Linked DNA regions of Canis lupus familiaris. The protein of the gene in region 2 purifies or fractionates together with the protein of the main gene of each other region. This does not show direct contact. Links are inferred from orthologs where the notes say so. Each region holds a gene or a part of one and is shown on either strand. Other genes may lie near its edges. The genes, in order: DDX19A, XPO1, NUP88, CDKN1B, NUP62, HDAC3 and NMD3.

What was found.
Region 1: the proteins of XPO1 (region 2) and DDX19A fractionate together in Homo sapiens (co-fractionation; 3 studies listed by BioGRID, with this or other methods). This does not show direct contact. The link is inferred for Canis lupus familiaris from reciprocal best matches to the Homo sapiens genes XPO1 and DDX19A.
Region 3: the proteins of XPO1 (region 2) and NUP88 purify together in Homo sapiens (affinity purification with mass spectrometry; 3 studies listed by BioGRID and IntAct, with this or other methods). This does not show direct contact. The link is inferred for Canis lupus familiaris from reciprocal best matches to the Homo sapiens genes XPO1 and NUP88.
Region 4: the proteins of XPO1 (region 2) and CDKN1B purify together in Homo sapiens (affinity purification with western blotting; 4 studies listed by BioGRID). This does not show direct contact. The link is inferred for Canis lupus familiaris from reciprocal best matches to the Homo sapiens genes XPO1 and CDKN1B.
Region 5: the proteins of XPO1 (region 2) and NUP62 purify together in Homo sapiens (affinity purification with western blotting; 4 studies listed by BioGRID and IntAct, with this or other methods). This does not show direct contact. The link is inferred for Canis lupus familiaris from reciprocal best matches to the Homo sapiens genes XPO1 and NUP62.
Region 6: the proteins of XPO1 (region 2) and HDAC3 purify together in Homo sapiens (affinity purification with western blotting; 3 studies listed by BioGRID, with this or other methods). This does not show direct contact. The link is inferred for Canis lupus familiaris from reciprocal best matches to the Homo sapiens genes XPO1 and HDAC3.
Region 7: the proteins of XPO1 (region 2) and NMD3 purify together in Homo sapiens (affinity purification with western blotting; 3 studies listed by BioGRID and IntAct, with this or other methods). This does not show direct contact. The link is inferred for Canis lupus familiaris from reciprocal best matches to the Homo sapiens genes XPO1 and NMD3.

The regions. Positions count from the first base shown.
Region 1 is NC_049226.1:76,930,576-76,934,075, forward strand, and holds part of DDX19A (ATP-dependent RNA helicase DDX19A), read left to right. Parts: intron 1-168; coding exon 169-283; intron 284-3,175; coding exon 3,176-3,353; intron 3,354-3,500. UniProt on the Homo sapiens protein: ATP-dependent RNA helicase involved in mRNA export from the nucleus.
Region 2 is NC_049231.1:62,877,691-62,881,662, forward strand, and holds the start of XPO1 (exportin-1), read right to left. Parts: upstream 2,801-3,972; 5' UTR 2,625-2,800; intron 2,073-2,624; exon of another isoform or gene 2,053-2,072; intron 1,373-2,052; exon of another isoform or gene 1,234-1,372; intron 1-1,233. UniProt on the Homo sapiens protein: Mediates the nuclear export of cellular proteins (cargos) bearing a leucine-rich nuclear export signal (NES) and of RNAs.
Region 3 is NC_049226.1:31,574,764-31,578,263, forward strand, and holds part of NUP88 (nuclear pore complex protein Nup88), read left to right. Parts: intron 1-458; coding exon 459-628; intron 629-1,554; coding exon 1,555-1,680; intron 1,681-3,500. UniProt on the Homo sapiens protein: Component of nuclear pore complex.
Region 4 is NC_049248.1:12,565,065-12,568,035, forward strand, and holds CDKN1B (cyclin-dependent kinase inhibitor 1B), read left to right. Parts: upstream 1-1,324; coding exon 1,325-1,799; intron 1,800-2,349; coding exon 2,350-2,471; downstream 2,472-2,971. UniProt on the Homo sapiens protein: Important regulator of cell cycle progression. Inhibits the kinase activity of CDK2 bound to cyclin A, but has little inhibitory activity on CDK2 bound to SPDYA. Involved in G1 arrest. Potent inhibitor of cyclin E- and cyclin A-CDK2 complexes.
Region 5 is NC_049222.1:107,310,875-107,315,092, forward strand, and holds the start of NUP62 (nuclear pore glycoprotein p62), read left to right. Parts: upstream 1-1,418; 5' UTR 1,419-1,551; exon of another isoform or gene 1,552-1,769; intron 1,770-4,218. UniProt on the Homo sapiens protein: Essential component of the nuclear pore complex. The N-terminal is probably involved in nucleocytoplasmic transport.
Region 6 is NC_049223.1:35,735,357-35,738,856, forward strand, and holds part of HDAC3 (histone deacetylase 3), read right to left. Parts: intron 3,496-3,500; coding exon 3,414-3,495; intron 3,284-3,413; coding exon 3,227-3,283; intron 3,107-3,226; coding exon 3,051-3,106; intron 2,667-3,050; coding exon 2,533-2,666; intron 2,007-2,532; coding exon 1,926-2,006; intron 1,541-1,925; coding exon 1,467-1,540; intron 1,303-1,466; coding exon 1,238-1,302; intron 324-1,237; exon of another isoform or gene 110-323; coding exon 20-109; exon of another isoform or gene 1-19. UniProt on the Homo sapiens protein: Histone deacetylase that catalyzes the deacetylation of lysine residues on the N-terminal part of the core histones (H2A, H2B, H3 and H4), and some other non-histone substrates.
Region 7 is NC_049255.1:27,425,707-27,429,978, forward strand, and holds the start of NMD3 (60S ribosomal export protein NMD3), read left to right. Parts: upstream 1-1,472; 5' UTR 1,473-1,615; intron 1,616-1,980; 5' UTR 1,981-1,992; coding exon 1,993-2,036; intron 2,037-3,741; coding exon 3,742-3,876; intron 3,877-4,272. UniProt on the Homo sapiens protein: Acts as an adapter for the XPO1/CRM1-mediated export of the 60S ribosomal subunit.

The DNA.
Region 1 (3,500 bases), on a different chromosome or scaffold from region 2:
GGGCTCTCTGCTGAAGGCTTGGGTCTACAGCTGAAGAGTGGGCCTGGTTGGAGAGGATGTGGTTCGCTACTTTTGAGTGGTAATAAGACCAGCATATTGTTCCTTTTGGGCCTGTTGTCTATTACTAAAAGGCTCTCCTAAACTCAACCTTTATGATCTCCCTGTCAGTGTCTGTGCCTCTCCCCAACATATGAGCTGGCGCTTCAAACGGGAAAAGTGATTGAGCAGATGGGCAAATTTCATCCAGAACTAAAGCTTGCTTATGCTGTTCGAGGCAATAAATGTGAGTATAAAGGGGTGAGACCTAAGCAGTGAGCAGGATAGGGTAGTTGGGTATTTGAATATTGAAGATGTGATGATGATGTTAAACTTTCTGGTTCACTTGACCTTAGGACCCACTGCATTGCTTTCAGCAAATCTGTTTTAAACTTGCTATTTAATAGTCCTTTCTGCTCTTAAAAGAGGATTTTGAGTTGTTAGGAAAATCTTTGTATGCGTCACAGAGTTGTTAAAGTCTGGTGTTCTTCACTGAGAAAATAGGATTTTGAATTCAGCATCCAGAATTCTGGAAACTACTTACTAACGAGGAATTAGTAGGTCTGAGGGATGGTAGGTTGGGATCATATCTCTTTGTTTAAAAATAAGCACAGCTTTAGTAAGAGTAAACTAGGAGTATATACAGATAACTTGGTCCTATTGAAAATAGAAATTCTTCTACCAATTTTTTCTCCCATGTGTTCTACAGAATGTAATGTAAAAAACAAGGACTAAGATGGAGATGAGGGGCAGGTAGAAAACTGATCATTAGAAAGCTATCAGGATATATAAAACCTCAAGTCATTAAGAAAAAAGCAAGCAGTCTAAATAGGAAAGAAGCCCAATTGAACAGACACATCACAAAACAAGGGATTCAGAGGGCCAGTAAATATGAAAAGGTGATCAATACACCTCATTTGTCATCAGGGAAATGTAAATTAAAACCACTATATGCCTCTCAGGTGGGCAAAAATGAAGAAGTCTGACAATACTAAGTGTTGATGGAGACCTACAAGAACTGGAATGCCCGTGTACTGCTGGTGGGGCGTATACACTAGTACTTTCTGGAAGCAGTTTGTCATTGCTTAGAAAAACTAAAAAGAGACCTCCCTTTCACCCAGCAGTTTGTAGTTGCCTGGAGCAATGGTTCTTGAACTTTTTGGTTTCTTACACTCTTAAACATTATGAGGACCCCACAGCATTTTTGTTTATACAGGTTTTATCTGTTGATATTTGCCATTTTGGAAGCTAAAATTGAGAAATTATACTTCTAAAGAATATGAAGAAAATTTGGCCTTTCTGATAATCTTAGGTACCTTTTTTAGGTGCTACACCAAAACATAACAAGTGGTAATTACTTAAGAATTAGTTCCAGTATGGAATCTGAAATCCTGTTACTGAACTTTTCATACTGTTAAATTAAAATACCTTGGTCTGTGGAAAATTCTGTCTTACTGAGTTACACTGATCTTCCAGATGTTGACACATCTCATTATACAAACTTTTTAAATTGTCTGCACAAATATTACCACCAAACTCATCAGAGTTTATAAAATCAAGAAACTCAAACTTAATGGCACATACAAGTCTACTAAAACTCTAATTCTACTTTTCTCTTGAAAGTTTAAATGTTACTGTGGCAGCAAATACAGTAGATTGTTTTCATTGAAGAAACAGCCTGTTCGTTTTCAAGAAAGTGGATATCAGATTCCCAACTTCATTTTCTATAGTTTATCGGTCAACTGAGAGAAATAACTAAGTTCAGCTCACCACACAGTCACAGAAGAGCTTTTCCTGGAGAAAACCATCATGCTTCAGCATGCAGCAAAACTACTTTATCCAAAAGTTTTTAGGTTGATTATGTAATTTGTGTGTTTATTTGATGTCTCACAGTGGTGGGTACATCTAAGTGTAGATACCAGAATCTTGTAACAACATATAACTTCTTAAGATTTTGTAATAAGATGGGACTTCACTGTGTATGAAGGATTAATAGATTAACTATATTTAATGTATTATTTTTAAAGGTTCAATTTTGACTTAGAGGCAGTGGACATTGAGAACTACATTTGAGTTAATTCAAAAATTTTCCAATGGATAACTGATGAATTTCTAATGAAAGGCCCTTCTCCTTAAATTAAATTTTGTTTTTAAAATAGTTATCCTTTCAACTTGTGAAGGTATTATGTGGTAGAAACTTTTTTCTCCCATATCCCCAACCACCTAGCTCTCCATTCTCTAGGCACTCAGTACTAACCAGTTTCTCATGTGGTGCACCAGAGATATTGTGTGGCTGCAGGCACATCGTGTGTGTGTGTGCGTGCATGTGTGCGTAAGTATGTAAATGTGTACACTTCATACATGTATATGTATTACATGTATTCGTTCTTTGCCTCTTGGTATACAAACTGCTTTGCAACTTTTTTTCACGTTTCATAATGTATTTTCGAGATTTTTCCTTATCAGTTCCTAAGTAGTTTTTTACTTTTCTTGGCATCATCCATTGTGTGTACCCTACTTTGCTTAATTAGTTACTGTTGAATGCCGGCATAGCCTTGCGTATTTGTTACTGTACACATGTTAACATACATACGGGGTTCATTCCTAATCATGGAGTATTGGTCACAGACTATGCACATTAGTAATTTTAATAGGTGGTTGTACCAGTTTCAACTCCAGCAGCTATAATTTGAGAGTAATGTGTTTTTTAGCACATGTACTTAGGAAGACTGTCTATATTAGAATGTTAACTAAAGCTCACTAGGCCAGGATCCTGGGACTCAAAACTACCAGTTGAAGAGAAAATCTGTGAACTGTGAGTGAATGTATGATGCAAAGTGAGTAAGAGTAACGCCAAGGAGAATGAGTAGGATAATGCTGAATTACAGGAGGAAACAGAAGAGAGACATGGCACTTACTGAGAATTCACTGCATAGGATTGAATCCTGACCACTATGCTGGGACATAGGTGCCATTGTACGACTTTAAAATAGAAGAATCCAAGACTTATGGATAATGCTCTTGTGTTTTGACATCTGGAATTAACTTGTTTTACTCACTCTGGAAGGATGGGCAAGGCTTTGATTTCCAAAACTGGTTTGCCATGGAAATACCCACGGAAAATGTCTTGTCTCCACAGTGGAAAGAGGTCAGAAAATCAGTGAGCACATTGTCATTGGCACCCCTGGGACTGTTCTGGACTGGTGCTCCAAGCTCAAGTTCATTGACCCCAAGAAGATCAAGGTGTTTGTTCTGGATGAGGCTGACGTGATGATAGCTACTCAGGGCCACCAAGATCAGAGCATCCGCATCCAGAGGTAGGAACTCTTGAGCCAAGAGGAACTTCTCGCCTCTTGATCTGCAAGTAAAAATCTTGTTCACTGTATCTCCTCCTGCTATATCTAACCCCTCTTCTTTCTCCAGCTGGGTTATTTGCTTTTAGAACCTTCAGAAGCATTTGTTTG
Region 2 (3,972 bases):
ACCATCTATTTGTTTCTTCCAACCCTCAATGAATTTGGAGATTAAAATTCCCTGAACACATTCTAGAAAAACTATGGTAATATGTCAAAAAAATGTTTTAGATTTCCAGGTATTCATTGGGAAGGTTAAAAAACCTATAAAAAGTTTGCTAATTATTTTCCAAATAAAAAATTCTAGGATAACAGAAAAGTGAGCTTCTTTATCTCACATAATGTACTGACTAAAGCCTACCAGTTCATATGCAATGTTATCCTTTTAAGAGGATTCTAATCCAAGATGCTGGCACATATTCACAATTTTGTTGCCCAGCATTATAAAAAAAAAATCTTTCCTTTGCTTTTTCTTCAAAGCCAATGCCACTTGAGTCTGACTGGCTAATTCAGTACTCCTTAATCTTTTTGGGTCAAGATGCCTTACAATCTGAACAACACGATAGCTCCTGCCAAAATTTTTTAAAACTCACAATTTTGTATACACAATTACAGAAAATCCAGGACACCTTGAAAGCCATGCATGAAACCTCAGGTTAAGAATCCCTGGTTGACTGTAGTTATTAGCCCCAACAAGGTCAGCTGGTCACCACCACTTCTCCCCCCTCTTAAGAACCTTCCAGGATCAGGAAATGGGTGGGATTTGATTACATTATGTTTGGTACGAAAAAAGACGTTATTTCTTGGCTACTTGAGAGCAGTTTAAAAATGTTCATAACAATGGCAGCAATTTCAATTTTAACTCCAATGCTTTCCTTAATGCCAATTATCAAAAAAAAAAAATCAGAAGTAAAGAAATGAGTCAGGTTAGGGATAACGGAAAAATTGAAAAACTAAGAGTTCAAAGACTCATTCCTCTGAAATCTTTCAACCCGTTACTGACAGCAAAAACTGAGATCTCCAAAAATTACATAGCAGTTATTACTGTTTTTAACAATATCAGACGTGCATTAAGAAGTCTTTAAATATGAATATAAAAATGGAAGTATATTCCAACAAACGTGTACATTCCCTCCCACCAAACACCACAAAATTTTAAAGGATCAGAACAGTCTTAAAATTGAGGCTGAAAAACAGGTGCCCACAAAGCACCAAGACGTACGTGGCCTAAGTTTTCAATTTTTGGTTAAAAGATTGGACAGAACAAACTTTCCTCCTATGTCGTCCTCTCGCAATCTAGCAACCCAAACAAAAAGAACCATTTGACTATAAAAAGTCCCGTGCTCAAGTACGTTGTCCTTACAGAGTTCTCCGAGCTCAATTCTTGCGAACACTCAGGTTCCGGGCAGCGCCTGCGCCAACTCCGGCGGGCGCCGGCCGTAGAACCAGGCTACCTTCCGAATGACCTGCCTATTCTTGAACCGCGCAGAAATGGCGGCGTTCTGGTCCATGCCAAGCACACGGAGTCCGCCCCCCCCCCCCCAAAATCAAGCAGCTTCCAAAACATTCTTTCCACTACCAGCAGCGTCCCACACGCGGAGACACCCGGGCGGGCCGGCCGCCAACGGGCGCCGCGGGGGAGCGAGGCCGCGGCCGCGTCGCCTCCTCGGGAGCTGCACCCGGAGACCCCCTCACGGGGAGCGCGGGGCCGCATCCTCCCGCGGCGGGGCCGCCAGCCCCCATCCGGACCGCGACCGCCGCTTCGGGATCGCCAAGGACTAGCTCAGACACCCACCCCCGGCGCTCCCGGGCCGAGCGGGCCGCCGCGGCCCCATTCAGCAGCCGCGCACCCCGCGGAGACCCGCCCTCGCCGCGCTCCCCGCCGCGGCACCCGGGGCGCGCGCTCTCCCCGCCCACCCCGCGCCCCAGTCGACCGCCGCGTCCCCGGGCAGCGTGGCCTCCGCCTGAGCCGAGGCGCCCCGGGCCGGGCACACCGTAAGCCGCCTCTACTACAGCCCTCCCCGCCGCACCCCAAGCTCGGAGACGGGCGAGCGGAGCAGAACCAGGGCATCCTCCGCCGCACGCTGCCAGCAGGAAACCATTCGATCGCCCCACTCTCAGGCCCCCTCCCCCCAACTACAGCACGGAACCCCACTTCCAGAACCCTCAACAATCCACTAACCTTTCCTACTTCTAATCCTACTCTGCCTCCCACCCCGCTTAAAAAAAAAAAAAAAAATCAGAAAAGATTTCGAGTTTCCTTGCAGGAGGAGGAGGAGGAGGGACTCGGCAGCCCCTCCCTCCCCCGATCCCAAGCTCTCCACCGAGGGGCCACGTGATGCAGGCGGACGTTTCAATGCTGCTGCACTAAATATTTCTGGAAACTTCCACTCCTAATAATTTACAGAGATGTTCCTGAAATCACCCCAACTTCTCCCCAGCCCCCCGGGCTGGGGAAGCCCTGCCGCCCCCACACCGGCCCCGCTTCACTATCACGCTCCTCGCCTTCCTCCACCGCCACCCGCACACGCCGAGAGCCCAGCAAGCGCTACCCTCCCGCGGCCGCCTCCCCGCCTCCATCCCCCAGCGGCAGAAGCGGCTCCATTCAATCGCGGGCTCCGCCGTGGGCCCGCCGCCGCCTCCCGGGCTCGCCTCCCGCCGCCGCCGCCGCCGCCGCCGCCGCCGCGCCCCACGCCGGCCTCCACCCGCCCGGCCGCCGCCCGCCCCTCGGCCCCGGAGCCGCAGCCGACTTACCCAGAGATTGAACCAACTGCTGCTTCTTTCCTTGCCGGGGGGATTAGGGCGAGGGAAGGTGGGGAGGGGGGAGAGGGGAGGAAATCAAGGTGGGTTTCACAGTTTTCCCCACCTTAAAAAGGGAAATTAAAAAAAAACAACAACAACGGAGATAAGGGCCAAAAAAAAAAAAAAGCTCAACAATATTTACTATTTCAGGGACACCCCCACGACACACACCCACCCGCCCTCCCCCCGCAAAAAAAGGAAGGGGAATTAATCCGTGGAATAAATGCTCCCGCCTGGCTGGGGAGTGAGGGAAGGGGGAGGGGAAAGGGGTCAAGTCCCAAAGATTCAGCCCCAGGGGGACCCTCCAGCCACAGGCGGCAGCAGAAGCGGCAGGAGTAGGGGGCAGAGAGTCCACAAGGCCGGGGGACGCTCCGCTGCCAGTTGCAGTCCGACTCCCCCCGACCAAAACACGGCTCCCTCTCTCACGCGGCTCCGGCGCTGGGCCCCCCCACCCGGGCTCGCCTAAACTTTCCCCCCTTCTCCTGCTTCTCAGCGACTGGTGGCTCCCCCCTCCCCCTCTGGGTGGTTGCACGGACTGCAGCAGCAAAGACTGGAACAGGCACCGCCGCCGGGGCTGTAGCTACTGTTGCTCTTGCTGATGCTGTAGCTCCCGCTGCTCCTGCCGCGGCCGCTGCAGCCGCTTCTCCCCCTCCTCCTAGTGCCTCAAACTCGGAACCGGTTGAAACCGGTTCAGACTGGGAGATTCCATCTCGGTTGAGTTTTCAGCCCATGGCGCCGCGGAGCGTTTGGAACCTGGGCCTCCGCCCCCAGCCCGCCCGCCCATTGGCCGGTTCCCGCCACAGCCGCGCCATCAGCCTGCGTTTCATTGGCCAGGCCGCCCGTCAATCCCACCTCAAGTCTCCACACGAGCCCGCCGCTTCGGCCCCCGCCTCTTTCCAGCAGCGATTTGCCTGCAGAGTGGGGGAGGGGAAGCGGGGCGGGTCGTAGCGGAGCAAGGAAGGGGGGGTGGAGGCGGAGGAGGGGGGACGCGGAGCCGAGCCCAGCCGCGAAGGGAGCGACGACGAGCTGCGCCGAGGATTGGTGCGAGCCGCCTGTCAGTCAAGCGCAGCCCGCCCCCGACTTCCCGTCCCCCTCCCGCGGCTCCCCCTCCCGCGGCTTGGCCCGCAGGCCCGGCCTTTCCGGCCCGCTCATTGGCTGGGCGCCTTCGGTGACGGCGAGGGTGCGGCGCCGCCCGTGAGCTGGGAGCCGCGCGAGTTTGAGCGCGGCGCGCGGCGGCGGCCGCTCGGCTTTCTCCGGCTCCGCGCCGGCCCGCCCCCGCCCGCTCCCGCTCCCGCTCCGG
Region 3 (3,500 bases), on a different chromosome or scaffold from region 2:
GGCCGTCTCCCGGACCATGACAGCCAGCCACAAAAGGAGAAGGAAGAGCTGTCGAGAGACACAGGCTCACAGAGTGTGATGGCTTTGTGGAGACACAGCTGGCCTGGTGGTGTGTGGAGGCTGTCGGGGGCGGACTGGAGTTCAGTCATGGAAAGGGAAATTATGCGTACTATTTATTTTTAAGGTAGGGAAATCTAAAAAGGGGGGGGGATCTGATGTGTTTTCTGTTACATTTCAGTCAGTGGTTAAAAATGCCCCATCGGTGAATAGCCACAGCGTTAGCACATAATTACCCAAAAGGCTTCATTGCTTTGCAGTTACGGGCACAGATGGGCAAGTAAAGCCGGGCCTGCTTCAGTTACTGTACAAACTGCACTGTAATGCTAGGGCCTTCAAGTGCCTGCCACATATATTTACATTGAAATGAACCATCTTGACCAGTTTGCTTTCATTTCCAGAGATTGCTCTGCATAAATCCGCCCCTGTTTGAAATCTATCAAGTCCTGTTAAGTCCGACACAGCATCATGTAGCACTTATAGGAATAAAAGGCCTCATGGTGTTAGAACTACCTAAAAGATGGGGGAAGAATTCAGAATTTGAAGGTGGAAAATTAGCAGTGAACTGTAGGTAAGTTGTGTTTCCACTGAGTGTTGGTCTAGTTTGTGATACATATGGAAGTTGTTCCAGACCCATGGTTCTCATGCTGCATTTTCTGTGCTGCTGCTCCAATACCACGGGTCCCCAACTGGTCTACACGTGGGCTTTTGGCTGTCCCGTGTATAGACCCATGTGATTCTGCCCATTGCTGTCTCACCGCAGTTTCAGCTCGTCCACGTGGGCAGAGATATGATAACTTTTGAAAAGTGGTTACCCTGTGAGGCAGATGATCTGTTTAACTAAGTTAGATTTTTTTTATCTTTTTCAACAAATCCCGAAAAGTGAGAGTCTGAAAGATCTGTTGGAAAGAGTATAAGGTTGAAACCACCTTTAGCTCCACAACGTTCCCTTTCCCATATCTGTTTCCTCATTTGCACAATCAGAGGGGTAATATTTACCCTGTCATTCTTTTACCAGGTCACTAAAGGGATCAAGTCAGTTAGGAAATCTGAGTCACTTGTAAAGTATAATACACTCTGTGACTTAGAAAATGTTTTTATTTTGATCCTCACTGATATCGATGCAACAGATGCTCTGAGTGCTCTTCTCTTTTTTTTTTTTTAATTTTTATTTATTTATGATAGTCACACAGAGAGAGAGAGTGAGAGAGGCAGAGACACAGGCAGAGGGAGAAGCAGGCTCCATGCACCGGGAGCCCGACGTGGGATTCGATCCCGGGTCTCCAGGATCGCGCCCTGGGCCAAAGGCAGGCGCCAAACCGCTGCGCCACCCAGGGATCCCCTGCGCCACCCAGGGATCCCCCTGAGTGCTCTTCTCAGCAAGATTTGAGAGAAAGAAATTTGAAGAGCAAAGAATGTTAAAATAGATTTTCCCTTAGAAGGTTTTTCATCCACATTCTACAAAATGTTTTGGAAAAACTGTTATTTTTATTTTAGTACCACTCCCATCGCTGAGAGATTTTTCACCAGTTCTACTTCTCTGACTCTGAAGCATGCGGCCTGGTACCCAAGTGAGCTGCTGGATCCCCACGTTGTGCTCTTAACATCAGACAATGTAATAAGGTAAAGCAGTTTTTAACTCTTGTAGCTTTGTGCAGGGAAGTCTGTGGTCCTGTTTGCTGGCTGCCAGCCCAGGGCACCCCTGGACGGGTCACCAGGTGTCAGCTTACTGTGTCTCAGGGCTGTTGTAACCACTGAGGCAGAGCTGCCCATATGACTGGCCTCAGATGCCTTCGTTACTGCTCATCCCCTCAGCCAGGCCTCCTACCCCTCCTTCCCTGACCTTCCTGAGAGAGCCCCTCTCATCCTGTTGCTCTTCTGGAGGCGATGCACCATAAGAAGGTGAAAGTATAACTGGGAGTTCAGGTGAGAATTCTTGTCCCAGTGCCCCTTCTGTCCTGGGGATCTTAAACTTTAGGGGGCCTCAGTTTCCAATTTTGTAAAATGAGCCAGTTTAATCTGACAGGTTTTGGACTCTATGATTAAGTGTCCTCAATCTGCAGAGATTTCTGTAATATAATTAGTTATCGTCCTGGATCTGCCATACATTTATTGGGGAGACTCGGCAGAGGTAAAGATCATTTTATTTTTCCTAATCACTGCTTTTAACTGTGCTCTACTAGATTCTCCTCCTCTGCTGAGCACTTTGCCCTTCCTGGCCTTTTACATAATCTCATAGCTGTCTGCTGACTTGTAGTTATTAAAATTTGGTGTGTCCAGTTTAAAACGCTGATGTCCAGTCCGTCCCAGCTCTGAGTCCCGGCTGGTCACACAGACCGGACGCTGATGGGCGTGATGCAAGTGGAGAGGGCACGATCTGCTCTGGCTCTTGTTTCTGTACGGCACCTTGAGAGCCCTGGGCCCTTGTCGGGATGGAGTATCCTCGCACTTGCGATGCAGCCATTGTGGTCTTTCCTGTGGAGTCGTGATGATTCCAGCGTCCTCTCCTCTGCCCTCTGAGGGTCACGGGGACCTGGGTATCTGTTCCATGGTCCTTTCTTTCTTTTTTTTTTTTTAATTATTTATTTATTTATGAGAGACACAGAGAGGCAGAGGGAGAAGCAGGCTCCCTGCAGGGAGCCCGATGTGGGACTCAATCCCAGGTCTCCAGGATCACACCCCAGGCTGTAGGCGGTGCTAAACCGCTGCACCACCGGGGCTGCCCTCCATGGTCCTTTCTTACACCATTCCAGCCCACCTCCATTAGAAGTTTCCTATGAGGGATGCCTGGGTGGCTCAGTGGTTTAGCGCCTGCCTTCAGCCCAGGGCATGATCCTGGAGACCCGGGATCAAGTCCCGTGTCGGGCTCCCTGCATGGAGCCTGTTTCTCCCTCTTCCTGTGTCTCTGCCTCTCTCTCTGTGTGTCTCTCATGAATAAATAAATAAAATCTTAAAAATAAATAAAAAGAAGTTTCCTATGAGAAGCAGATACAGTGTAGCATATTCACATGCTCCCAACCCTTGGGTGTGGCTCATCAGGTTCACTCAAGAGCTCCCTTCCCTTGGGTGCCTCTGGTTTCCTGCACTATGGCTGGCATTCGCCAGGACGCCTCTAAATCTCCTTGAGTGTCTCCCCACCCATTTGGCTTTGGACTTGGGGCCAAAGAAGGAAAGGGATGCTCTCCCGCCACAGAGGCTATGCTGTACATGGAAGAACTCCTGATGCCTGCCCCTCCTGGTCTTAGGTTTTTGGGTTTAAGATTATATTTATTTGAGAGAGAATGTGTGCTCAGAAGGAGCGGAGGGAGAGGGAGAAGCAGACTCCCCACTGAGCAGGAAGCCTGATGCAGGACTCGATCCCGGGATCTGGACCTGAGGTGAAGGTAGATGCTTCACTAAGTCCCCCAGGCGCCCCTCCCACAGGCTGAGATCTTACACCTGAA
Region 4 (2,971 bases), on a different chromosome or scaffold from region 2:
GCAGAGCCTCCTAGGTTCAGAGGGAGCTAACCACTGCTCCCCGCTAGCAGAGGCACCCAGGTCGGGGTGGGGGCGGGGGCGGGGGCGGGGGCGCGGCTCCCGGCCCCTCCGCGAGCGCCAAAGGCCGCCCAGCCTCCCCGCAGCGCCGGAGCCGGGGGGGGGGGGGGGGGGGGGGGAGAGCGCAGCGGGGGGGGGGCGGGCGGGGAGAGCGCAGCTGGGGGCGCAGAGCTCCCACGGCCAGCCTCCGCCCCCCGCGGCCCGCACCCCCGGCTCGGCGAGCGCGGGGAAGACGAGCTCGCCACCGGGCCACCTAGGAGGTCATCTGATCCTGCCCCCTCCGTCTCCCCGCGCGCGGAGCGGGCGCGCCAGGCAGCGCAGCGCGGGGACCTGAACCCGCGGCCCCGCCGCCCCCGCCCCCGCCCTCCCCGGCTTCCCGGCCGGTTGGCTAGTTTGTTTGTCTCGTTTTTAATTTCTCCGAGGCCAGCCGGAGCAGGTTTGCTGGCAGCCGCGCACCTCCGGAGTCACGCGACCAGCCAGGCTCCGGGCGGCGCAGTCGGAGGCGGGCGCGCGCCCGGGGAGGCGGGGCGGGGCGGGGCGGGGCGGGGCGGGGCGGGGCGAGCGGGAGGCGTCGCGGCCGCCGGGGCCACCTTAAGGCCGCGCTCGCCAGCCTCGGCGGGGCGGCTCCCGGCGCCGCAACCAATGGATCTCCTCCTCTGTTTAAATAGACTTGCGGTGTCAATCATTTTCTTCTTCGTCAGCCTCCCTTCCACCGCCATATTGGGCAACTAAAAAAAAGGGGGCTCGTCCTTTCGGGGTGTTTTTCTCCCCTTCCCCTGTCCCCACTGCCTCGCCGCTCCGCGACGCCGACGTCCGCAAGGTTTGGAGAGCCGCTCGGTTGGCGGGACCCGCGGGCTCGCGGCAGCCCGGGCTTGGACTGGCTCTGCCGCCCCTCCCCTCCCCTCCTCTGCCCTCCTCTGCTCGCCTCTGCTCGCCTCTGCTCTGCTCTCCTCTCCTCTCCCCTCCCCGCCCCGCCCTCCCGCTCGCCGGTCCGCTAGAGCGGCGGCGGCTCTCGGCTGCCGGGCCGGGGCTTCCCCTCACCCCTCACCCCTGCCCCTCCCGCCTCCCGCCTCCCCCGGGCCAGCGCGCCCCTGACGCTCGGGCAGTTACTTGCGCGTGTTTGTTTCTCTTGGCTCCGAGCGCGATCGCAGGGCTTTCTAGGGGGCGGTTCGGGCTGGGTCGGGGCGTTTTGTTTTGTTCAGTTTTGTTTTCCGAGAGAGGGAGAGAGCGCGCGCGCTCGCGGCGGTCGTGAAGACCGGGGAGGAGGATGTCAAACGTGCGAGTGTCTAACGGGAGCCCGAGCCTCGAGCGGATGGACGCCAGACAGGCCGAGTACCCCAAGCCCTCCGCCTGCAGGAACCTCTTCGGCCCGGTCAACCACGAAGAGTTGACCCGGGACTTGGAGAAGCACTGCAGAGACATGGAAGAGGCGAGCCAGCGCAAGTGGAATTTTGATTTCCAGAATCACAAGCCCCTGGAGGGCAAATACGAGTGGCAGGAGGTGGAGAAGGGCAGCTTGCCCGAGTTCTACTACAGACCCCCGCGGCCACCCAAAGGCGCCTGCAAGGTGCCGGCGCAGGAGAGCCAGGACGTCAGCGGGACCCGCCAGGCGGGGCCTTTACTGGGGTCTCAGGCCAACTCAGAGGACACACACTTGGTAGACCAAAAGACTGATGCGCCCGACAGCCAGACGGGGCTAGCGGAGCAGTGCACTGGGATCAGGAAGCGACCCGCGACCGACGGTAACGACCCCTCCCCAAGCAGAGAAGGTCTGGGTGCCCAGGACCCTAACCGCAGCTTGCTTTTCCAGAGTATTCCGATGTAGTGGAGGTGGGTGGGGGGAGCGAACTGCCCTCCTCTTGGGTTTTAAATGCTTGTCCGCCTGGCTGCCTGGCTGCTTATGATTTTTAAGTCAGGAGCCTGTTTTTAAGTCAGTGAGATGCTGTTATCTGATCATTGCTCCAACCGAAAACATCGCAGTTCCTCCCGGCTGGCCAGCGCTGGGTCTGTGACTACGTTGGGATGTTTATCAACGGCCTCCCTCTTTGCAGTGGGGAGAGAGAGAGAGAGAGAGAGAGACAGCGAGACAGCTCTAGGGGCATAGAATACACTTTCTGTTATGTGAAAACAACCTCATTCTGTGCCCTTAAAGGCCACCGGGAATGACGGATCCAGGATGGTGGGTGGAGGTGTGGGTTTTTCATCCCCTGACTATTGTGCCAACTTGTGTCAGCCATTGTTTTTCTAATAAAGATTGTGTGTGTTCTTTTTAAAATTCCCTCCTGCCCTTAGATTCCTCTCCTCAAAACAAAAGAGCCAACAGAACAGAAGAAAACGTCTCAGACGGTTCCCCGAACGCGGGTTCAGTGGAGCAGACGCCCAAGAAGCCGGGCCTCAGAAGACGTCAAACGTAAACTGCTCGGTGGGTTGATGACTAGGAGCAAGAAACTGACACTCCGAAATGGGCTTTCACACCCCGAGATACCCAATCTTGGTGGTTGCTGGCAGAATGGAGCTTGTGGGTTTTTGTTTCTATTTTGTGAGGTGGAAAAGTAGGAATGGGGAAGGCTGGGAATCGCTGGTGGGGATCCTGTAATTTTTTTCACACTGTCTACGTCCTGAGGTCATTTTTCCTTGAAAACACGGAATAACCAGAGCAAGTGTCCTAGCCAAAGTACTTGTGACCGAGGCTGGATGATGAGTGGGAAGGTCAATTCCCTGTGAATCCCACCAAAACCGTTGGGAACAATAGGTTCTTTCCCCCCATCTGAGCAAGAACTGGGATATGCTTCAGTCCCACTTCATAAGAATTCTTTTCCCAGAGGTTTCAAGTTGAGTCAGTAACAGATTTTGAGCCATACATGGGAAGAAGGCAAATAAATGATAAAAGTTAAAATTTGAGGGAAAGGGTGCA
Region 5 (4,218 bases), on a different chromosome or scaffold from region 2:
CACTTACTTTTCTTTAGAATTCCCAAGCCCTGTTCCTTCCTATACAAAAACCTAATGGTCTCCCAGGGGAATTTCCTTAAGCCCTTCCCTCCCACCTCACAAAATTACACTTCATTAAAAAAAAAAAAAATCAGGGCAGCCCGGGTGGCTCAGCGGTTTAGCGCCGCCTTCAGCCCAGGGCCTGATCCTGGAGACTCGGGATCAAGTCCCACGTCGGGCTCCCTGCATGGGGCCTGCTTCTCCTTCTGCCTGTGTCTCTGCCTCTCTCTCTCTCCTCTCTGTGTATTCTTATGAATAAATAAATAAAATCTTTTAAAAAAAATTTCAATCCCAGGAGAATTTTCTTCCAGCCACACCCCTTCCTCTAAAGTATTTCCTTTAGGCTCCATCCCATCTAAACACTCGGCTCAAAAATCAGCTCCCAGGGATCCCTGGGTGGCGCAGCGGTTTAGCGCCTGCCTTTGGCCCAGGGCGCGATCCTGGAGACCCGGGATCGAATCCCACGTCGGGCTCCTGGTGCATGGAGCCTGCTTCTCCCTCTGCCTGTGTTTCTGCCTCTCTCTGTGTGACTATCATAAATAAAAATTAAAAAAAAAAAAATCAGCTCCCAGGGGAATTCCCCCAGCCCTGCCCCTCCAAACCGTGGTCTACTAAGTCCCACGGCTTCTTTTTAGCTTCGCGGTGACCGCCCCAGTCCCTTCCCGTCCAATTACCTTAGCCCCCCACTTCATTCCCGGGGATACCCCAGAGGCCCCGCCTTCTCTCCGTTGAAACCCCACCCCAGGTAAATTTGCTTAACCACGCCCCTTCTCACGATAGACCCCCGCCCACCCGTCGCAGCCGCTGATCCTAGCTCCACCCCCCTCCTTACAGGTGGCCTCTAAGCCTCGCCTTCCGCCCTGTCAATCTGAGTCAGCCCCACCCAACCCCGCCCCAGCAGGTGCCCGAATGAAACATAAATTGTGTTGTGCGCATGAGCAAGGTGGAGCTCGGAGACGGGAGCCGGCCGGCGGAGCCACACGCCTCTCTCGCAGGGCTAAAGCGCATGCTCTGCCACTGATCCAATTGTTCTCTCAGGCCTGCGGGGTTGGGGAGTCAGTGCGCATGTGCAGCTGCTTACTGCCCGCCCTTCACTCAAAAAATACGGAGTCTGGTGGGCTTGTGCACGTGAGCAACCGCTCGCGGACAGACTCATTCGGGGAGCGGGGGGCGACCCCCGCTCGGGGCTAGTGCGCAGGCGCACTGCGTGCAGGCCATCTTTAAACTCCAGCATTCTAGGGAAGAACGTACCCTTCCCCCACTGGACCGAATGCGCATGCTCGGCCGCGTGCCAACGACGCGTTTCCCTCTTCTGCGCCTGCGCGACCGTGATTCCTCACTCTCGTCTCCCCACCCCCCAGGCCTGGTCGTGAAGGCCGCGAGCTTCGAAAGGGCGGGAAAGGCGGTTGGAGAGGGAGGGGCGAGCGGTTACTCACTCCATGGCTACGGAAAGGAGAGGCGGCGGCAGCCTCAGCTGAAGAAAAGAAGGCGGTAGAGAAGAGCGCAAGCGCGGTGAGCGCGGAAACGGGCCGGGACACGGAGGGGTCGCGGCTACAGAGCCATAGCCGGGGTTGGGCGGGCGGAGATGGCGTCTCGGTAGCCTGAGAGGAGATTGTGATCTGTGGATGGGGAATGAGGCGGCCCCGGGGAGTGGGGACAGATATACAGGGGATGGCGCAGCACGGCCTCCCCGGATCCATCCGCGCCCCGCCCCGCCAGGCCCCAACCGGGAGGCGGGCCTGGCCTCTCCTCTCGGGAATCCTGGAATCCACTCCCCTCCTCCTCCCGACGCGGAGTTAGGCCTTTTCCTTCCTCTGACCCGGGGACCAGCTCCGTCTTCCTACCCCAGGGGTTCCGGCCCCCGTCCTCCTTCCAACTCTGGGGTCCTGTTCTCTGTCTCTCTGACTCAGGTCCCCTCCCCCCCAATTCTAGGGATTCGATCCCTCGCCTTCTCTGAGACCTGCCCTAGTTCACTTTTGGTTTCTTTTGCCCTAGTTCTCGAATTTCCGGCCAGCCACATGCTGGACTCCTATCCCCAAACTGCCGCCCCACGCTAAGAACCCTTTTTGTGGGTTAGACTCTTGTCTGAGTCACAATGAGACCGCGCGCGCCGTTCAAATCTCAGACCTGCGATGGTGGCCAAATAATCAAGTTCTCTAGTCTCGTAGATCGAGAACTGCCTGTAAAATGAAGAAAATAATCAACTCTGCCTGATGAGAATCAAGTCGATGCCTGTGAAACCCAGAGCCCGGCTCTTAATTGCCTATTTAATGTATCTTATTTTTAATAGGAACTCTGGGGTTGAGTCTCAACCATACCTCCTGCCCTGGCAAGATCCCCAGACATTTGACCATACAATAGCTGCTAGTAGGTCATTCTTGTGTCTTCTTCACTTCTTCAAGGTGTCAGTAATTGCCAGACATCCCCACCTTTCCCTGTTCCAGATGATGGACGCTCACCCGCAACACCAGCACAGTTGCAGAGAAGCAGGCATCATCACCCTGACTGTAGCTTTTCTCCATCCTCTGCCCACCTCCCATCAGCCCTTATCCTTAGCCCTCCTTTCAGGCCAGTTGGTTCTGCTTCAGCTGCCCCCCACTGGATCAGTTTACCAACCCTGCCCCAAAATAGGGAGATCTGCACTGCCCTTTGCTAAAAGAGAGGGGGCTTCCTGGCCATTCCCTCCTATGCACTAGACCCTCCACTGGCCCAAGTGGGTATGGGTCTTTACTTCCCACCTTGCATCTGTCCACAGCAGGACACCTAGAGTTCAACTTAACATCACGGGTGGTGGTTCTGAGGTCCAGAGAAGGTGGGGGAACTCTGATCTTGAGACTTATTTGGGAATGAAGATAGCAGGCTTCAGTTGCATGCAGGAAGTCCTTCTTGGGATCTGACCACTTTCACTTAGAGCACTTACTGTGTACTGTGCCAGTATTTGAAGATTTGACCTATAGGGGCTAGGTTATTACCTAGGCAGCATGAGTAGCAGTTAAGTGCAGACTCTGGCGCCCAGTTTTGGGTTCAGACCTTGTCTCTACTCCACTTATTAGCTTACTGTCAATTTCTTTTTTTCCCTGTGCCTCGGTTTCCACTACGTTCAAATCTCAGACCTGTGATGGTGGCTACATTATTTTATCGCTACGTTTCTATTAACTCCATATAGAAACTTAGCGATACATGTGGCAGCTAACAGTGCTTACTTCTGGGGTGCCTGGCTGGCTCAGGCGTGTGACTCTTGATCTTCAGGTTGTGAGTTTGAGCCCCACATCAGAAGTAGAGTTTACTTAAAGAAATAGTGCCAGGCAGCCTGGGTGGCTCAGCGGTTTAGCGCCACCTTCAGCTCAGGGCCTGCCTGTTCCTGGAGACCTGGGATCGAGTCCCACATTGGGCTCCCAGCATATGGAGCCTGCTTCTCCCTCTGCGTGTGTCTCTGCCTTTCCCGGTGTCTCTCATGAATGGATAAATAAAATCTTAAATAATAATAATAATAATAATAAGTAGTGCCTACTTAGTACTGTCACAAGGATTCAATGAGTTAATTCATAATTCAGGTCAAGCATTTAGATTAGTCCTCCTTTCTGCCCCCCCAAATCTTAAGTCTTCTAAAAACATCTAGTATGTACACATGGACTAGGCAATTTAAGTAAATTTTTATTTTAGAATAATTTTATTTTTGGGCAGCTCCAGTGCCCCAGCGGTTTAGCACTGCCTTCAGCCCGAGGTGTGATCCTGGAGACCCAGGATCGAGACCCACGTCGGGCTTCCTGCATGGAGCCTGCTTCTCCCTCTGCCTGTGTCTCTTCCTCTGTGTGTGTGTGTGTTGGTCATGAATAAATAAATTAAAAATCTTTAAAAAAAATTTTTTTTTATTTTTACAGAAAAGTTACAAACATAGTGCGGAGAGTTTCCATATACCCCACATCCATTTTCCCTGTTGTTGACCTCTTTAACATTTCTGTGATATATTTGTCACAACTAAAGAACCCACGTCGGTATGGGATTTTAAAGTGCACACCTCATTTTGATATTCTGATTTCACTAGTTGTTTTTGTTTTTGTAGATATTTACTTTAGAGAGCACAGGCAGGGGGAACAGCAGAGGGAGAAGCAGGCTCCCCACTGAGCAAGGAGCCCTACCCAGGGCTTGATTCCAGGACCTTGGGATCATGACCTGAGC
Region 6 (3,500 bases), on a different chromosome or scaffold from region 2:
AATCAGGAAGCATACTCACCAGCAGCGGGCAACATTTCGGACAGTATAGCCACCACCACCTAGCACCAGTAGAGGGATATTGAAGCTCTTGACATATTCGACACATTCTCTGTTAAAAGGAACCAAAGGAATGGCTGGAGGAAGTTATCAAAAGCCAAAGTATAGCTCTCTAGGTATTGCCTGGAAAGGGCACAAGGGAACTAGAAAAGATTCCGTATCTTGATCTAGGTAGTGAAATTCACTGAGTTGTACCCTTGAGATATGTGTACTTTAATATATGTATGTAGGCCTGTGACGGCCCCAGTCCAAATAAAGTCCTGCGTGTGGAGCAAGAAAAAAAAATATATATATATGTATGTTGTGTCTCAGTAAAAATTGAAATGAGGACCTTCCCACCTCCCTCCTGCTCAATACCCATCCTGGCATCTCATTTGTTAACCAACTATTCTCATCAAAGCACCAGCAAGTGCTGTCAGCTCCAGCCTCTAAAATATAACTCAAATCACCTACTTCTCATTGGCCATCTCCACCTAAGCCCAGGTACCACATCTGCTGCCTGGACAACACCAAGGGATTCCTAACTGGCCTTCTCATTTTCACTCCTGTCCCCTACCCCTACCCTAAACCTTCCTCCATTCACCAATCAGAGCAGTAGCTTTATTTTTTTTCTTAAAGATTTTATTTATTTATTCATGAGAGACACAGGGAGAGAGAAATAGAGAGAGGCAAAGACACAGGCAGAGGGAGAAGCAGGCTCCATGCAGGGAGCCCAATGTGGGACTTGATCCCGGGACCCCAGGATCACACCTGGGCTGAAGGCAGGCACTAAACCACTGAGCCACCCAGGGATGCCCCAAGCAGTAGCTTTAAAACATGAATTGGATCATGTCACTTCCCTGTTTAACATCTTCCAACAGTTTCCCATCATATCTGAAATGCAATCCAGAATTCTCACCAGGGTCTAACGGCTCTGCACAATCTTACCACTGCCAACTTCTTAGGCCAACCTTACCACACCTCCAGCTTGCGGAGATGGTTTGACATGTGTTCTTGTCTGACTGCTTTTACTTCACATCCTCAGCTACACCAGCTCTCCCATGTCTCAGTGTCTCTCTGCCTGAGAGTGACTCTCTTATTCTTCCTATGGCCCATTCACCAACTACCCCTACCTACTCCATGTACTGAGACCCAAAGCCACTTTGAAAACCTGGGGGCAGAGATGGAGGGCAAGTCTCACCCATGTCCTCGAATGCTGAGGTTGAAGCAGCCCAAACGGTCACAGCCCAGAGAGTCCGCTCCACACTGCAAAAAAGCAAAACCCCAGGCAGCTGCAGGGGGATAACTGACCAGAATGTCCCAGATGTCCTTCACTTCACTTCCCCAATAAACACAAGGGCTATCCTCCTCCCTGCTCTCTTCCCCTAAGCCCAAGCAGAACCCTCTTGAGGAGGCACCTAGAGTATTACCTGGAGCACAATGCACGTGGGTTGGTAGAAGTCCACCACCTGGTTGATAACTGGCTGGAAAAGGTGCTTGTAACCTGAGAGAGGGCCAAAGGTGGGTACCTGGCACCCCAAGGGGATGGGGAGACAGGGAACAAAAGGAAAAAAGGGGTTGAGCGAGCATGTAGCCCAGGGAAAGGGGCAACCCAAAGAACCAAATCAATGGTTCTCAACTTTTGGATGGGGTCCCAGAGCATTCTGAGTGACTAATGAAAGCCAATGACCCTTTTCCCAGAAAAATGCACATACACCTAATATGTTGCATACAATTTCCGGGGGAGGGAGGGGTGGTTAATGGTCCCTCTGAAGGCCATTCATCCTTAAGGACACCTGGCCCAACAGTAGACAATACCAGGCAGAAGAGGTTAATTTAAAGAGAGGAAGAAGGGGCCTAGTAAGCAGGGAAAAGACTTCAATACTTACTCTGGTCATCAATGCCATCCCGCAAGGGCACATTGAGACAGTAGTAACGGCCACTCTCTGCTCCAACTTCATACATATCACCTATAGGGAGGTGGGAGGAGGGGGTAGGAGCCATACACAGGAAGTACCCACAACGCAGCTGCCTTAACTTCAATCTGTACACTGAGGGCCTCTCACTATATCTATGTACCTCCACTGCATGTTCCCTATAGACATTTACTCTCTTGTGGCTTACATTCATTCAACAAATAATCTTTGAGGGCCTACCATGAGCCAACCTGTGCAGTAGATACTGGGGATATAGCAATAGAGAGAATGGATGAAATTAATGAAATCCCACCAAGCTTATATTCTTGGGGGGTGGGCATGATGAAACAAGACAGTAAACAAAACAAAACACTGCAATAAATACAAGCAGCAATGAGTGCTCTGAGAGAAGCAAGCAGTGACATGGGGTAGTAATGGGGAAGGAGGGATTACTCTAACTGTGGTGGTGAGGACACACTTCTCTGAGAAGTCACCTGAGCCAAGACCTGAAGGCTGAGCAGGAGGCTATCACGGTAAAGAGTTGAGGGTGTGAAGGGGATGATCATCCTTATTCCCATACCTGTGCCAGGAAAGAAGTAGTTTCCGTATTTGTGGAAAGAAACTGTCATGACCCGGTCAGTGAGGTAGAACGCTTCCTGAACTCCATCACCATGGTGGATGTCAATATCAATGTAGAGCACCCGAGGGTGGTACCTGGAATGAGAGCCAAGCCAGGGTCTGAGGTAGAAGGGAACCCCAGCAAGAACACCCCCAATTCACACCTCCCAAAACAAGATCTGGAATTACGAAGATTCTACTTAAGCCCAAATCACCTGAAACCTAATACCAGTTCCCTATAGGCAACGCTGGGACTCTTGCCTGGAGGCAGGGACAGGAGAGGGATGTGCAGAGAAGACTGAAATGTGAGTGGGCAGCAGGGAGTCTGCAGCAGAGCAGGGAATAGGTAGTCTGAGTAAAGCACTAAAAACTATGAAGAAGCTAGTGTAGGGGCAGAGGAAAGGGTCAGGGCCAGCATAGTGTAATAGAACTCCTCGGCCATGGGTCTCATATCCCTCCATCTCCTCCCAGGCTACTTACTTGAGCAGCTCCAAGATGCCAATCACAATGTCATTGACATAGCAGAAGCCAGAGGCCTATGGTGAGACAGTGGTCTTACGAAGAGAGTAACAATTCCTCTACCCAGCTGCCCCTGATGTCATCCCGACCACCTATGCTAGGGCACTCATTGTCTCCCCCATCACCTCTTCACTCACCTCAAACTTCTTGGCATGGTGGAGACCACCAGCCCAGTTAATGGCAATATCACAGATCTGAAAAACAAACACCGAGCTCATAGTCCTACTTGCCCACCCCCAAAGCTGGAAGCTCAGGGTCAGGGTTAAGGCCTTGAGCTGGAAGGGCCCATAGGAAAGGGAGAACAGGACTCAGGGCCACAGGCACCTTGTTGTTCAGCTGGGTTGCTCCTTGCAGAGATGCGCCTGTGTAACGAGAACAGAACTCGAAGAGCCCGGGAAACACTGGGCTGCA
Region 7 (4,272 bases), on a different chromosome or scaffold from region 2:
GATAATTCATTCACCACCATATATTGAGGGTCTGTTTTGCACCAGGCACTGTGCTAGGTGCAGGGAATGTGGAGAAGAGACTTGGACTGCTCTCCAGCAATTAGACCTGTGGAACATGCAGAGTAGAAAATTTACGATCCAATTTAATGTTGTTGGCACCATTACAGAGGCATATACCTCTATAAAGATGTAGGACCACACACAAAGGAGGAACATCTTTTTCAGACTTACCACCTCTAGAAGTGTAAGATAATAAATTTGTGTTATTTTAAGCCATAAAATTTGTAATTTGTTGCAGCAGCAATAGGAAACTAATATATGGTACTTGAGCTTAATCTTTATGGCAGACTGTCCCAAGCATAAGCAAACGTAGACTAGCTCCTGTAGGACTTTTCAGTGGGTCTGTTTGGCTGCGTGCTTGGGAGCGTGACAGGGTATGTCAGGATTAGATCCTAAAGTGTCTTCCTCCCATGCAGAGAAATTGGAAATACTCTGTAGGTTGTCGGAGGCCACTGAAGGATTAAAAGCAGGACAGTGCGACAAGATCAGATTTGCATTTTAGAAGGATAGATTGGAGTCTAGAAGTAAGAGGAAGGAAGGGGAGATTAGGTACCCTAGGCAAGAGAAACGAGGAGGCCTATTTTGATCACCTTCTCTAACATGACCTTGCTTATTCCTTGAAATTTGGGGTCAGAGGACAGAAAAAATGATTGTGCTCTTTAAATATTTGAGATTCTGTCATGAGAAAGAGTGGTTAGGCATGGTCTGTGCCGTTCTAAGATGAAGGCATAAAGTCATAAAGAAATATTAAATGCATTATCGGGAAGCACATCCTTTTAAATTTTTTATTATTTTATTTTATTTTTTAAAAAGATTTTATTTATTTATCGATGAGAGACACAGAGAGAGAGGCAGAGGGAGAAGCAGGCTTCTGCGGGGAGCCCCTTGTGGGACTCGATCCCAGGGCCCCCATCACCACCTGGGTGGAAGGCGGGCACTCAGCAGCCGCGCCACCCAGGCGGCCTGGGGAGCACGTCCTCATCATCAGTGGGCTAAAAACATACAGACCTCCCATTGAATTGGGACTCCTCTTTATTTCTTGCATCTATTCAACAAATACGCATTTGACTAGGGCGCAGCGGGCATCGGGCAAATGATAGGAACAAAAGAGACAAAGACACCGCCCTTGACGGAGTTTAATTTCTTTGCATGTTGTGTCTTTGCATATTGCGTTTAGAGACAACTTTTATATAATCGCTCAACCAAGAGGCACGCAAGCTCCCCATCAGGATGTCCGAGCAGCGATTTACACACCTGGGCGAGGTTAGCTTGCGGTGACCCCCCCCACCCGCCCCCCGGAAAGCCGGCGCAGGGCGGAGGCAGGCCACGCCCCTCCCGCGCTCGCCCCGCCCCCCCGGGCCGCAGCCCCGCCCCTCGCCGCTCGCCTCCGCCCCCACCCGCCCCCTCAACTTCCAGCTCTCGGCCCACGGGAGTGCGGGCTCTTCTCTCGCGAGATCTTCGCTGCGGGGAGCCGGCCGTGGTGGCCGCGTTGGGGGCCGCGGGGGCTGTCGGTCGCGGCCGCCCCGCCGGGCTGGGTCTGCCTCAGGAGCGCTCGGTAGGTTCCGCGGCCGAGATCCGGCTGCTGGCGCGCGGGGGGCCTGGAGCGAAAGAGCAGGGCGGAGCCCCCGGGCTCGGGCAGGCCTGGGGCCGCGTGCGTGCGGCGCGGGCCGGAGCGGGCGGGAGGCCGCAGCCGCCGGGCGCGGGGCCGGGGTCGCTGAGGGGGCGCGGAGCGGTGCGCGGGCCGCGGCGGCGTCTGGGGAGCGCGCGGTGCCCTGGCCCCTCGGAGCTGCCGCGTGCGACTGGCTCTCGTCGGCAGCTCTGCGACGCGTGGCCGCCGTGTCCACAGACGGGAGGTTTGCGCGGAGGTGAATAGCCCCAAGGACTTAAACCCCACAAGCCGTTCTTTGTCTTTGCATCAAGGTGTGCGGAGACATGGAGTACCTGACGGACGCCGCCGGCCGCACCCCCGGACACATGTGAGTCGTACCCCCCCCCCCCACCCCGGTCCTTTAAATGTAAAAATATTAAAGTGAGTCTTTGAAACTTGCTGCCTGTGAGGAAAGCTTTTTTTTTTTTTTTTTTTCTTGAAGGGAATTCTTAAGCGAAAAGCTTTATTTCCTGAGACAATCGGGATCGTTTTTTAGTTGAAAAGTTTGTTGTGGTAAACACCTGCTGATTTAAGAGCGTTAAAATATTCGCTTTACGTCGTTCTCCGCTGGCACTGTGCCATGTGATAGCTAATTAGCCATGTGGGGCTATTTAAGTGTAAAATTAAAATGAGATAAAATTAAATATAAGCTCTTTAGTCCTAGCGGCCAGGTTTCAGGTGCCCAGTGGCCCCATGGGCCCGGCGGCTACCCTACAGAACGTCATGGATTATAGAACATTTCTGTACCTGCGGGTCTGTACCTGGGTGGCTCAGCGGTTGAGCACCTGCCTTCAGTCCAGGGCCTGATCCTGGAGTCCTGGGATCGAGTCCCGCGTCGGGCTCCCTGCGTGGAGCCTGCTTCTCCCTCTGCCTCTCTCTCTGTGTGTCTCTCATGAACAAATAAAATCTTTTTTTTGATGTACTTTTTAAAAATTTTTATTTATTTATGATAGTCACACAGAGAGAGAGAGAGAGGCAGAGACATAGGCAGAGGGAGAAGCAGGCTCCATGCACCCGGAGCCCGACGTGGGATTCGATCCCGGGTCTCCAGGATCGCGCCCTGGGCCAAAGGCAGGCGCTAAACCGCTGCGCCACCCAGGGATCCCGAACAAATAAAATCTTAAAACATTTCTTTGGGACAACATCAGTGATCGCTAAACATCTTCTGTCTCAGTACACCTAGAGTTATGACACAAGTCCATTATACAGAATCACACTAGCCCTGATACTCTTCTTATTCTTTGACAATTTTTCTACTCTGTTTATTTATTTGTTTTCTAAAAGACTTATTTATTTACTTATTCATGAGAGACACGCAGAGAGAGAGAGAGAGAGAAAGAGAGGCACAGACACAGGCAGAGGGAGAAGCAGGCTCCACGAGAGAGCCCAATGCGGGACTGGATCCCCGGTCTCCAGGATCACGCCCTGGGCTGAAGGCGGCGCTAAACCCCTGAGCCACCCCGGCTGCCCTCTACTCTGTTTGAATGTTTACGTTTTGGCAGTTCTATACTGGCTCCCTAAAGAAAAATGTCTTCGGACGATAATAGATCTGTGATGACTATTCTTAACAGATCTATTAGACTCTCTCTTGACCCTTTGGACAACACCATACTTTGAGGATTTTTGGAATTATAGCCATCCTTGGATTTTTTGCTGCAGTATTCCAAGGTGCTACTTTATCTACAGCATCTTTGAAGATTACTTTGCCAGGTGTTTTTTTGTTTTTGTGTGTGTGTGTGTTTTTTTTTTAAAGATTTTATTTATTTCTTCATGAGAGACACACACAGAGAGGCAGAGACACAGGCAGAGGAAGAAGCAGGCTCCATGCAGGGAGCCCGATGTGGGACTCGATCCCGGGTCTCCAGGATCATGCCCTGGGCTGAAGGCAGCGTTTAAACCGCTGAGCCACCTGGGCTGCCCTGTTTTTGTGTTTTTTAAGCAAAGATATGGCCTCCCCTGAAGGCTTTTGTTTGTTTAACAACCAGTGCATTTATGAAACCTAATTTGAAAAATTTATGCTCTGTTTATTTAAGCTTGTGCTGTGAGTGTGGTGTCCCAATCAGTCCAAATCCTGCCAATATTTGTGTGGCCTGTTTGCGAAGTAAAGTAGACATCAGCCAAGGAATTCCGAAACAGGTCTCTATATCTTTCTGCAAGCAATGTCAAAGGTATGATGCGGTACTATTTTATGTTACGTAAAGTTGAGTTTTATATCTATATATGCTGATGTGACATAGAGGTACATAGACTAAAAGCACACATAATTGAGATTTAACTTTTATTTATGTTGGTGTTGCCAGACATTTTAGGATTTGCAATTTTGTAGTGTACTTCTCTAGTTTGAACCCTGATAATCTGGTAAAGTTAGTGTAAATGTATTTGAATCTACTTTCTTTTAGTCTTATAAGGGTTTAATAGGTTTGGTATATACAGTTAATAGATATTGAGTTGGGTTTTTAAGGGTAAGTGAAAGCAGATTACTAAGAATATAATATTGTTATTATCATGAGGGTTTTTTTTTTTTTCATTTTAGTCACCAGAAGCTCTGTATGATAAACAGCCTC